Linked DNA regions of Alligator mississippiensis. The protein of the gene in region 1 purifies or fractionates together with the protein of each later gene. This does not show direct contact. Links are inferred from orthologs where the notes say so. Each region holds a gene or a part of one and is shown on either strand. Other genes may lie near its edges.

Evidence for each region.
Region 2: the proteins of histone H2A.Z (region 1) and ANP32E purify together in Homo sapiens (affinity purification with mass spectrometry; 4 studies listed by BioGRID and IntAct, with this or other methods). This does not show direct contact. The link is inferred for Alligator mississippiensis from reciprocal best matches to the Homo sapiens genes H2AZ1 and ANP32E.

The regions. Positions count from the first base shown.
Region 1 is NC_081825.1:161,263,202-161,269,443, forward strand, and holds the start of histone H2A.Z, read right to left. Parts: upstream 3,447-6,242; 5' UTR 3,318-3,446; coding exon 3,315-3,317; intron 2,880-3,314; coding exon 2,802-2,879; intron 1,691-2,801; coding exon 1,577-1,690; intron 1-1,576. UniProt on the Homo sapiens protein: Variant histone H2A which replaces conventional H2A in a subset of nucleosomes. Nucleosomes wrap and compact DNA into chromatin, limiting DNA accessibility to the cellular machineries which require DNA as a template.
Region 2 is NC_081838.1:18,367,623-18,373,864, reverse strand, and holds the start of ANP32E (acidic leucine-rich nuclear phosphoprotein 32 family member E), read left to right. Parts: upstream 1-1,646; 5' UTR 1,647-1,747; coding exon 1,748-1,801; intron 1,802-1,962; exon of another isoform or gene 1,963-2,484; intron 2,485-2,894; exon of another isoform or gene 2,895-3,475; intron 3,476-4,853; coding exon 4,854-5,003; intron 5,004-5,815; coding exon 5,816-5,938; intron 5,939-6,242. UniProt on the Homo sapiens protein: Histone chaperone that specifically mediates the genome-wide removal of histone H2A.Z/H2AZ1 from the nucleosome: removes H2A.Z/H2AZ1 from its normal sites of deposition, especially from enhancer and insulator regions.

The DNA of each region.
Region 1 (6,242 bases):
CCGAGTTAAGCAAAAAAAGTTGGATTTAAATGAATAATTAAGTTTCCCTTTAAAAAAGTATGCCACTTTAAAATGAACCCTGAATTTAACACAGTATAGACTAAGGTACAAGATATAAATATAATTTAAATAAAATATTGAGTCAATAAAAAAACCCTCTGGACTTAAAGGTTGATTTTCTTCAAAGGTTTGGGGGTAGGGAAGCCATTTAACTTTTGAGGTCAAGCTTTAAAAGAAATACAGCACAATATTTCATGTATTAGGGGTTTGGCCCTGCAAGGTTATATAATGCTGGATACAAAGCATCAACGAAGTAATCACAAGTGTTTGAACCTGGCCTCTTCTAGCTGTGTACTCCTTGATCAGCATCATCTACCAGGCCCACCTAGAAGGTATCAAAACTCCTGCCTGTCTGTGTCTTTACCCGATCCAATTGGCTCAGTTCTCAGTTTATGAATATCGATGACTGTACCCATAATGGAGGCTTATTTCTCAGCTCATGGCAAAGCAACCATCTGCTCAGTAATTACCAACCCCCTGGGGCTTCTTAAGGGTTTGGGTACTTCAGTTAAACGGCCCTTCTTGGTTCCTTTGGCTATGCAGAGATGCAAGCAGACTTGAAGTTCATGCAATTCATGGTCTCCAAACTAAAATATTGTAGCCCCCTAGCCTTGTGTGCTGCAACAGCAGAAAGCATGGCTTGTTGGGACGAGGGAAAAGCTAGGGAGGGTATGGTGGATTACATCACAGGGAGAAGCACTGGTTTGGTGTTCATCTCCTGTGTGGAGGAGAAACAGGGAGGAATAAGCAGGAGTGTGAGCAAAGGACCAACACTGGGCTCAAGTGTACAAAGTGGTAGACTGGTCTTGAAATCAAGACCTAGACATTTTAGAAAGTTTTCCCCAGGGTGATCCGAAATAACTGGTTTAATTCACTAAATTGCAGTTCATGGCATACTATAACAGTTAATACTAGTGTTTAATAAATTAGTTATCCAAGTGTTAATCAAGTCTTGATAATGATTTCTATTTCCAAAACATTAAAGTTGCTTTTAAACACACAACCAACACCAAATTAAACAAGTCACCATCTTAATAAAAAAAGAGCACATTAAATCTACTGAACAACATACAATTCACATTTAGGATGCCAAAATAGTACATTCAGATTGTTAGCAATGCTGTAAGTTATACATTTAAGACCATATTGTTTATCTATCATTGGTTGATACAATAAAAACACACTGACCTACTGTAAAAACTGCAGTTAACTAAGTTTGGAACATGTGTTTCTAGGTACACAAGCTATGAAGAGAGAGTTTGAGTACCTAGGAAACATGTATACAACTTGCAACTTAATCCAGTTTTTACAGTAGGACAAGTTCTGTTAGATCAACCAATGATGATACAACCTTTCTGTAAAAAAGGAAGGAAACAAAAATACAATGGGAAACTTGATAAAATTATTTAAATTTGGGCTACTGATTTATAGCAATTTAAAGGGACTCAATTTAAGTCAATTTACCCCTTTTAAGAATATTAACTGCCTTTCCCAGTCTCTCCAACAGTATCCTTACCTCAGCTGTCAGGTACTCCAAGATAGCAGCACTGTACACAGCAGCAGTAGCTCCTACACGTCCATGGCTAGTGGTCCTGGACTTCAGATGACGGTGAATGCGGCCAACCGGGAACTGCAAGACATCAAGAGCAGGAAGAACATAGTGTAAACACCATAAAAGGTTTGGCAAATGAAAGACTGAAACCCTGCCAACAGCTACCATAAAATAAATCACAGGAAGGCCTGTTTGTTATTTGATGTAACAAAAGCTGATCAGATTTAAAGCATAGTGATTTTGAATACACTTCTTGCATGATTCCTTATCCTATAAAACAGCAATTCTCAGCTTTTTTAGCCTCAAAACAGCCCTTTTTATTTTTTCCAGAGTTTAGGAGCATCCTGGCTGAGAACTATTGAGTTAGAAGCCAACTTACACCAGGTAAGAGTGTCAAGGCAAGACCTCACCCCACTGTACCCTTTTGCCAGCATCTGCCCCCTCCCAGCCATTGATCTGTGCATGAAGGGGTAAGCACTAGGCTTCCAATGCCAGCAACTGAAGCCAGATGCACTTGCAGCCTCTCACCACGCCAGGCACATTGGGGGGGGGGGGGGGAAGGAGGGGGCAGAAAGAGAGAAACAGACAGGGGATAACTCAGGATTTAAATTGTAGTCCTCTACCTATATCTGGCCACCTGCTCATGCACTTCACATGCACACACATTGGAGCAACTGTTAGGAGCAGGGTGGCCAGTGCAAGAGCTGCCAGGCATGGGGACTAGCTACAAGTACTGCTGGACAGATTTTAGAGGTGCCCAACCCCAGCAAGGAGAAAGAGCAATTGCTCATCTTTTGGCACAGGACACATGGGTGCCACAGCCCCTTTGGAAGCATCTCATAGCACTCTGGTTGAAGACCCCTGCCATATAGTAGCAGCAGCAGCATTATGGTTCAAGCTGTTCATTCCCAGTCCAAGCTGTTACTCCTTAACTGCACTGAAACAAACAAAAAAAAACCTCTTCAAGTAATGCAAAACCTAGGCGCTGAAAATAGCACCCTCCAAAGACTAGCCTTTTAAAAATCATGACAATCAGTGGACTTCAACTGCAGCTGTTCTAACATGGAAGCCTGCTGCTCCTGAAGCAGACTGCCCCATAGCAGACAAGCAGCAAACAGAGAAAAACTCCCAAACAAAAAGGCAAAAGGCTTAAAGGACAAATAAATGGGATGAAGCCCTGCAGACTCACCTGCAGCCCAGCTCTCTGCGAGCGAGACACTGCTTTGGTCTTGGTCTTCCCAGAGTCCTTCCCAGCTTTACCACCAGCCTACAAAACAGGGAGGAAGGCGGTAGTCAGAAGCGAACTCCTACCCACTGGAGCCAGCTTCTTCCTCCTATAAGCTCACCTGGAAGCAAGTCAGTCACTCGGGTCTCAGGCAAGAACCGCCCAACAGCCCCGCGCATGCGCTCCCCGCCCAGCAGCCCGAGCCAAGGCGCCGCGCATGCGCTCTTCCCCCACGCCCAGCAGTCCGAGTCCCTTGCTAGGCGCAGGCGCTGAGCGCTCCCGCCGGCCCGCCGCGCATGCGCACCCCCTCCCCCACAGCCCAGCGGCCGGCGAGACGCGAGGGCGCCCCAACGCGTGCCAGCTTTCCAACCATTGCGCCCAGTCTCCCCATGCAGCCGCCACCACCTCCTCCCCGCCGCTGCAGCGCGGTTGAGCAACCCCCACCCCCAACCGTCCCCCGCCTCCGTGGCCTCCTACCATCGTAAGCGGCGCTGCAGCACCGCGCGGGAGAGGGAGGAAGCAGCGAGCGGCTCTCACACACAACAAGACCCCAGCAGCACCGCACACCTGTACCCGCCGCGATTCAAACTGCGCCGGCTCCCGCCTTCCCCCGGTGCTTTATAACCGCCGAACGTGCCCACATCCGGGCACCCGGATCCCACCGCCAGCCAATCGCCGCCGAGGGGGGCGTGGCGACTCTGCGGCCCAGGAGCCAATCGGAGCCCAGCCGCCGGGCGGGGAGGAGAGGGGTGGGGTGGGGCGGGAGGCTCGTGCGCCCGGGCCTCAATGGAAGGCACGCCCACACTTAAAGTGACAGGCGCGGCCCTGCGGAGCCGTCGGCTGCCTGGCGAACCCCGCGGGGCGAAGGGGGGGGGCGGTGTAGGCCCAGTGACCCGGCGCGTCGCGGCGCGAGGGCCCGCGTGCGCGCCCTGCTCCACCCCTCTGCTGGCTCCCGCGCGCCCGGCTCCGCCCGCCATTTTGTCTGGCGCTGGCGGCGCTGCCCGCGGGCACCTACAGCCTCCGAGGCCCCGCGCCCAGGCTCAGGCACAGCTACGGGCCTTTTTGCGACCCGGACACCTGCCTCTGCCCTGCCCCACCCCGTCCCACACATGGGACTTGCAAGTGCCTCCCCTCCACCCCCGGGCGGGGCTTAGGGCAGCTGCTGGGTAAGGAATTGCGGGGGTGAATCCCCCGGGGGAGATGCAGACACGTTGTCTTTTTCTGCAAGCTTTCGGACACACACGCCCTTCCTCAGGCGCAGGGAAAATTAAAGACACCCCAGGGAGAGGCACCAGAGCCTGCCCTAGGTCACTGGAGGAGTTGCAGCCCAACACCTGTACCTGGCCACCCCAACTTGTGTCCCTGCAAAGAAGGGGTCTTTGGAGGATGCAGATCTCCCGCCCCGGGTGCAGCAGGTGGGACGGGCAGACAGGTGGTGTTGCCCTCCTTGGCACGGTGACTCTCAGCCAGGGGTCGTGCAGTAGCAGCACTGCGCGTTTCATTAAAGCGACCCGGAGATTTCAAATAGGCACCCGTAGTGTCAAAAACACCCTGGCCTGCTGCAAAGGAAGGGTATTGGTAGCTATTGAGTGAGGGAGTTAGGGGTCCAGCCTTTGAATCAGAACTGCCTAGACCAGGGATCAGCAATGTTTTTGGTCACAGTGGCAAAAACACCCGCAACCTTGGCTTGAAAGGTGTTGGCGTCCCCAGGGCAGAAGGTGGGGGAGCTGCAAGGGGCCTGATCCTTGTTGTGGCGGTACCGGCAGGCCTGGCCCCTTCCCAGAGGTGTGACTGCCAAGCAAAATGACTGCTCTGATTGCCTACCCTTGGTCTAGACCTTAAATGCTGGAGGCTGCAAGGTAGGGAATCCCTGCTCATACTCAGTTTGCTCTCCCTTTTAGCATATACTTTCTGCCCCTCTGTGACGTGGGGAGGTGTGGGGGTTGTGTTATGAATGTTTCCAAGTCTAGGCCTGAATCTGCACAGGTTTCACATGCCCTTGGGTTTGTGGCTCTCCGTTTTCTTAGGCAGCAGAACCACCTAGATGTTGGGTGGGACCCTGCCTTGAGCAGTGTGACCTCCCCCCAGGAGCTTGTCGTTGTGGATCGCCAGCTAGAGGTGGTGCAAATGATGCGAGTTTTCTTGTCCCGTGCAGCATTCCCAGCCAATTCCAGGGTTTCAGTCATCAGGCTTTCCATCACTGAAGCATAATTGCCCTTGTAAAGCATACAGTGCACACGGCCTACAGGGAACTGCAGCCCTGCCTGGGAAGACCTAGGCTTGCAGACTATGCCTCCCTGCTTTCCACAGCCAGACATGATTTCACTCTTATGTGATGCTACCCCTCTGCAGAAACCTGGCAAGACAGACCTATGGTCTGACCCAGCAAATGGCAGTTCTTATGTTCTTATGGTCTTTCTGTGTTCCTTGCAGTAAAAGAATTGCTCTAGTCATGGGCGTTGCGGTGCACCCCCTGGAAAAAGGCACCACTTACACTCAGCGGCGCCTATGGGCAATCGCCGCTTGCCACCCCACTGCTGCCACCACCAGTGGCATCTGTGGGCAGTCCGCGATTCCTGCTGACTGCTGCTGCCGATGTTGACAGCAGCTGCAGGTGGTCGCCAACCCTTGGTCCGTGTTCGCCATCCTCCCCTGCTGCCAACAGTGCTGGTGGAGTCTTCAGGAGCTCTCCCACTTACTGCCACAGGCTCTTGCTGCTCTTGCCACCACACTCCTGCCACCGCCGTGCCCCCACAGCTACCGGGGGCACATGCCATTCATGGCTCTAGTACTTTTTGTTTTTCAGTCAAACAAGTGAAAGCCAAGAGCTAGCATTTCCCAAGGGTTGTGCTGAGTCTAAGAAGGTTGAAAGGTTGGACTCCACAATTCAGGAAGGACATGGAGAAGCTTGAGAGAGTCCAGAGGAGAGCCACGTGCATGATCAGAGGCCAAGAGAACAGGCCTTATGAAGGGAGGCTGAGAGCCATGGGACTCTTCATCCTGGAGAAGCACAGGCTCAGGGGTGACTTGGTGGCAGCCTATAAGTACATTAGGGGTATGCATCAGGATCTGGGAGAATGCCTGTTCAGCAAAGCGCCCCAAGGGATGACAAGGTCCAATGGTCACAAACTCCTACAAGACCATTTTAGGCTGGACATAAGGACAAAGTTCTTTACTGTATGAGCCCCCCAGGCCTGGAATAGACTCCCCCCAGACGTGGTGCAAGCACCTATTCTGAACACTTTTAAGAAACATTTGGATGCTTATCTTGCTGGGATCCTTTGACCCTAGCTGACTTCCTGCCCCTTGGGCAGGGGGCTGGGCCTGATGACCTTACGAGGTCTCTTCCAGCCCTAATGCCTATGAAATCTATGAAACCTGCTAATGATGTGGTTCTCAAACTTT
Region 2 (6,242 bases), on another chromosome or scaffold:
TAACACCCTGCCAGATGCTTTTGCAAACACAAGCAAGGGCTAGGCTTCTTTATTATACCCCAACCCTGTTTTCAGTGTTTCAGGGCACTGCCATCTGATAACGCAAAGCTACATATAACCTAGGAGAAAGGGCAGGACGGTGCCTTTCTCTAAACCAGTGGTTTCAATCTTCACTCGCAGCACCCCTCATTAGACCCGAGGCCCCCCCATAGAAGATGCCAGCTCTTTGTTTTCACTCATTTTTTGACTGAAGTAAAACCATGAAAAGTAATTCTTCTGTTGCAAAGAGCTCAGAAAGATCAATCAGCACGGACAAGGCAGAGCCGTTCTTAATGTTAGATCCCCATTTGAAATCTCTAGTTTTTTCTTGTGAATCTGGTTTGCTGTGGCCCCCCGATTGAGAATCGAGCTCTAGACCCTTTTCTCAGACCGTGGCAAAACCTGCCGCCACCTCTGAACTATCACCAAGAGGTTTTTTTCTTTGTTTTTTTCTTGACACCCACATTGTTAACTGCTGTCTAGGTCTTCATGGCCCAGTACCTACTGCAGCCTAATCTCTGGTCTTCTTGACAGGTCAAATCTCTGCTGCTCAGTGAACCCCGACCACACTATTCTCTTTCCTTAGAAGCTTCACCGCTACACCCGTCACGAGCTTGCAGTCCTTGTCTTCACGGCATTTATTGTTTCGGTTCTCTCATCGTACCAGTCCCTCGCACTAATCAAGGATGCCAGCCTGCATTGCCCGTTCCCCCTGAACCCGAGAGATGGTGAGGCCACAAATTTGGCAGCCTTTCTGAGCACTTTTGCTGCCCTTGCACGCCCCAACAACTGGGTATTTCCACAGCAGTGAACTAAACCCACGGTTCTCAATTTTTCTAGACGTCAGGCGCCCCTTAGAAACTACTGATTTCACCCGAGTGGTTTTTTTTGTCAAATGACAAATCATTTTTGCCTTGTCGCAAAGCGCTGAGAAAGCCCCCAACACCGCAACGATTTGAACTCTGTTGATTCCTGTATGAAAGCCCCTATGTTTCTCTTCTGGTGAATCACGCGTGCACGCCTAACAAGGCTAAACACTACCCGGCACGCCGCAGCACCCTCAAAAGCGACACCCCAGGATGCCGCGTGCCCTAATCAAAGCAAAAGGGCTTCGTTTGGGAATTGGGACCGGAAGCCAGCAGGTCCCAACACCACCCCTCCTCTTTCAAGCCCTTTGCACAAGTATCTGCCAGTTCCTTGCAGCAGTTTAACTAAATACACGTGTTATCTTTAGCCCGTCATGCTGCTAATCTCTGCCTTCGCACCTAACATCTACACAGGTCCCTTTTTTTGTTTTTAGTGCCCGTAACACTTCATTAATCTGCTTCTAGACACCCAGGCCTAACCCCCACAGACCAAACCACCAGAACCGCGTGGCGCATAATGGCGCCCAACCGCCGCCAACGGTCGCATTTAAAAGCTCGGAGCCTCGACGGGCGTCCGGCGGAGCCAATCGGCCGCCGCCGCGCGCCGCGCCGCTCCTCCAATGGAAAGCGGCGCATCGAGAGGAAGCGCTCGCCCCTTCCTTGGCCCCGCCCCGCCGGCCGCGGGGGGCGTGTCCTGGGCGAGGGGGCGCCGTGCGCCATGTCATGGAGGCTCAGTGCGCGCCCGGCTACTGAGCAGCGCGGAGCTCCGGCCGGCGGCGGCGGCGGGGGACGGCGGCGCGGGGGGCGGCGGCCCAGCTCTCCCTGCCCGCGCGGGCTCGGCCATGGAGATGATGAAGCGCGTGGTGCTGGAGCTGAGGAACCGCGCGCCCGAGAAGGTGAGCACGGGGCCGCCATGTCGCGGCGGTGCCCGGCGCTGCGCGTGCCCCGACCCGGCATGGAGGAGCCCCGGGCCCCAAAACACCCCTCCTCGGCGTGCTCCTTACTACGCATTTGTGCCTTATGGTGCATTCTCCTAATTATTCACCTCCCGGCCGTGTGTTATTATTATCATCATTATTATTATTATTATTATTGCAACGATAAGATTTTTTTTGGACTGGCCAAAGGCTTTTTCTGCCCGCTGCGCTGCTTTTCGAAAAGTGAAGGAGGGCTGGGAGCCCCTCCGCTGGGCACGGGCTCGCTGCGATCGCTGCTGCGGGCATCTGCTCTCCTTATTCGGCTGATTTTGGGGAAATTAGGAACTTGCTTTTCTTTTCCGCCTCCCCCTTTTTCCTTCGGTGAACTCCGAATCTGGGTCAGCCACCGCGATGCGCCCGCCATAAGTTTCTCGGTTGTGTTTGGGGGTGAGTTTTGGGGGGGAGGTGTTAAAGGATCCTTTTTAAAAATAAATGAATAAATCGACAGCTGCTTTTCTTTGGGGTGGGGAGAAGCCCGAAGTCGCGTGCCCCCCGCTCGCCCATCCCTCCCGCGCTGGCATTGCTGGCAGGATGGGTCTTCATTTATTTTTAACTTCTCGCTGGTGGAGGTTGTAAACAGGTCGTAGTGGCACCGAATCCATCTTAAAAAAAAAAAAAAAAAAAGATCACACCATCTGGGTAGATCCGACTTTGCTTTCCTCCAGCCGGCGATCGGAGAGGATCAGAAACCCTCTTTTCGTCAAAATTGGCCTGTGTCTCGGCTGACGTTTGGGGCTGTTTATTCAGGATTGGATCTATTATTACTTATCGTTATTATGATGATGGTGATGATGATTCTCTTCTTTCTCCTTCCCACCTCCACCCTCCCCGAGTTTTTTCAGCTCTGCCCAGAGAGCACATGATGGGGTAATGGCACCCTCCTCTCCTTCCCTTGCAGCCACACGGCTTATAACCGGCCTTCCTAATGGCTAAAGGCAGATAAGGCGATTGCTGCTGGGTCCTGCTCAGTCATCGGAGACAAGATAGGCTCCTGGCCGGTCCCTCCACCCACCGAGAGCAGTCAGGTTCGCGGTTGGGAGGTCATGAACAACGCAGGAGGGCTCTTCTCCCTGCCCGCCATGCAGCTACAGTCAGGTAGCTCCTTCCCTCCGCGAACTCGGCGCTGGGAGTGGTGCTCCAGTGTTGCAGAAAATGCCATCCCCTGCCGCTCCGGCGTGACTTCAAAACAAAAGTCCCGTGCAAGCCAGTGATGGCAAAACTTTATGGGGGGGGTTCTTTTTTTTTCTTTTTTTTTTTTTTTTTTCAATCCTCTTCCTTTGACGTCAAGTCCAGAAACGCAGCGCGAGGGGGCCAACGGCATCTTGAAAGTATTTCTCTTAACTTTTTAATCCCGAGCCATTTTGGTTCTGGCCAGCCTCAAGGCACTCGTGCTTACAAAAACAAATCGAGATGCGCAGAATTGAGATGTGATGTCTGAAGAGGCTTCGTCTATTGTTAAACGTACTTTTTTTCCACCCCCACCCTCCCCGAGGTGGCTGTAGGCAGGTGGTTATCTGATGCATGTTTTTTTCCCCTGCTGCGCAGGGAAAGATTGTGGCTGCGCTTTGCTTTTTAGGAGAGGGTCGTGGTTTTAGTTAATCTCCTGTAGTAATTTCATTGACTGCAGTGCCAGCTGCATGGAGAGCAGGCTGATCAACTTGCAGCCTCCGCTTCCCTGCTGTTAAACTCGGCCAACAAATGATTTGTCGCTCCAGCAGATGTTTTTGCATTTAGGTCAGTAAGGACGCTATCGACTGGCGTGTCTTGCTCTCCCCAAGAATAAAGTCCAGATAGGTTGATATTGCAAAGTGCTTTTACTCCACCCCAGCCTGGGTGACTGATTGCACAAAGATTCCCTGCATAAAAACTACTACTCAGATAAACAGTATATTTTTTAACAAGTTGACTGTGTTGGATTATTTTTTTAAAGCCTTTAAACTGTGGCTGGAGTTACCCCCCCCCCCCCAAATGGTTTTAGTCTTTCCCTTTTCTTCAGGGCAAAACCTGAACAACTTTGGGACTTGGAAACCACAAAACAATTCAAAGCTAGTCTCTCTGGTCAACTTTTTCTGCAGCAACATGAAATAAGATTGTAAACTTGAAACAAATGAGCAGCTCATGCCCACCAAAATAACTCAGAAGTCGCCAGTGAACAAGTGACTTTTTTAGTCATCTCTACAGATGACTCTTTCAGAGCTGAACTTCCCAGACTGGTGTTGCATTTAATCCTTTTCATTTGCAGCCGGATTGGTAAAATAGCAACTGTGGTCAGCCCACTTGTGGGGACATGGAGGACAGACAAGCAGAAAATGGATTTTTCCCTGCAAGATGTTCAGCGACACAGAGTAAATGCATCTAGAATGAAGAAGCAAATGCTTCAGTCTGGTGCATTATTAACCTATGATACTCCCTGCCTCAGTATTTTGAGGGTCAAAGCTATAGGGTTTACAAGAGGATTTGGTGCTTTTTTTCTGGCAAGTGAGGCTATACCCCCTTATTTTAAATAGTGAATGGGAATATAAACCCTCATCTGGGCATGAAGCAACCATTAAGTGATGGCTATGGAAGGAAACTATATGGGTAGGTCATTCTGTAATTGCCTAGTTGGCTTTTGGCTCCTTGCTTCTTCTGATGCATCTGTTCCTGGCTTTCATCAGAACCAGGACCATGGGTTTTTGTCCGGCCCTGTAAAGGACTGCGATTGTGAACTCTGTCTTGGTGGTTGTGCTTTCTGAAGCCAGCATGTTAACAAATAAATTAAGTTTTTTATCTTCTGGTTCTCTGTGATGGTGCTTCATACTCTGTTTACTTCCTCTCAAGGTTGATATGGTCGATGAGTTCAGACAACTCAAGTTCAGGTCTTCCCAGATGAGAAGCAAAGCCTGTCGTCAGGCTGCTGGTTTGACCCGAATTGCTTGCTTGGTTGAGGGTCCCTATTAAAGTAATAAGTGACATTCTGTTTTGTTTCAAGGTGACAGAGTTAGTGCTTGACAACTGCCGATCCAGCAATGGCGAAATTGAAGGTCTGAATGACTCCTTTAAAGAGCTGGAGTTTCTCAGCATGGCCAACGTAGAGCTGACATCCCTGGCCAAGCTCCCCACCTTGAGTAAGCTCCGAAAGGTATGCATCTTCAGACAAAAACCCATCCGTTCTCTCCTGCCAAAGTTGTATACCTTGAAACACACCAACAGTTAAACTACTTGCAAACGTGACTGTGACTATGGAAATACGCATCTCATTGAAATGTTTTACTAAACATTGCTAACTTAAGAATTAAGTCTTTAAGACCCTGAATGTAATTAATGCTGGTTTCAAACATTAATGAGCCAAAGTACTGAAAAAGTATCACTTGAAAACTGTGTTAACGATGGCCATCCCATTCTGTTGTAAAGAGAGGGGGTCGGGAGCAATCACATTAGGTGAAGTGCTGGGAACACTGAAGTCATTGTTCGTTACCTGTAAGGAACCAGTTTCAACCTAGTCTGTTGACCTAAAGCCTGTACAAAGATCCAATGCTATGTTTCACATCCCCGTGTAAAAAATAAAGCCTGGAAATATTTTAAGTTTGCACCATACTAAGTATGCTAACTGAGCAGTTGGAATCGGTGAGATCACTTGCCGACTTACAGTAGAACATGCTTAAGTGTCTGTAGGCACCCAAGTATGAAACTAGTTAATGAATTATCACTATCAAGTGCAGGTGTGAAGAGCTTCTGAAATAAATGTTAGGCTCTGAAGAGACGTACATGTGATCAACATGGGTTGCTATATTTTTAACCAGACTTCATTTTATGCAAGTAATCTGAGGTTTTACGGGCTCTACAGGAAGTCAATAGTCTTGTGATGCATTTGTTCTTTCAATAAAATACAGGCTCTTGATTTTGATAGCAATCAAACCAACCATCTAATTATCCAACTTTTGTGCGCTGTAGCTGGAATTGAGCGACAACGTCATTTCGGGAGGCCTAGAGGTCCTGGCAGAAAGATGTCCAAATCTCACATATCTAAATCTAAGTGGCAACAAAATCAAAGATCTCAGCACTGTGGAAGCCCTTGTAAGTACAAAGTCAGATTCTTAGAAGATTGCAATGCCTTAAAGAAGTCAGAATCTTTCTAGCATTATAAAAGAAAAATAATAATAATTTTATAATTGAATGCAAATGTAAAGTTTGTAAGTGCCTGACGATAGAAGGTCATTGCAAGTAGAAGGGATAAGTACAACAAACACAGTTTAAATAGGAAATCAATAAAACACAAAAAGATAATAAACAAGATGGCATAACTGTGACATTCAACAGAACTGAACAGTATCCAAAAAGTAAAACTCTCACTATTTCCCCAGCCTTGGGTAGCTTTTTG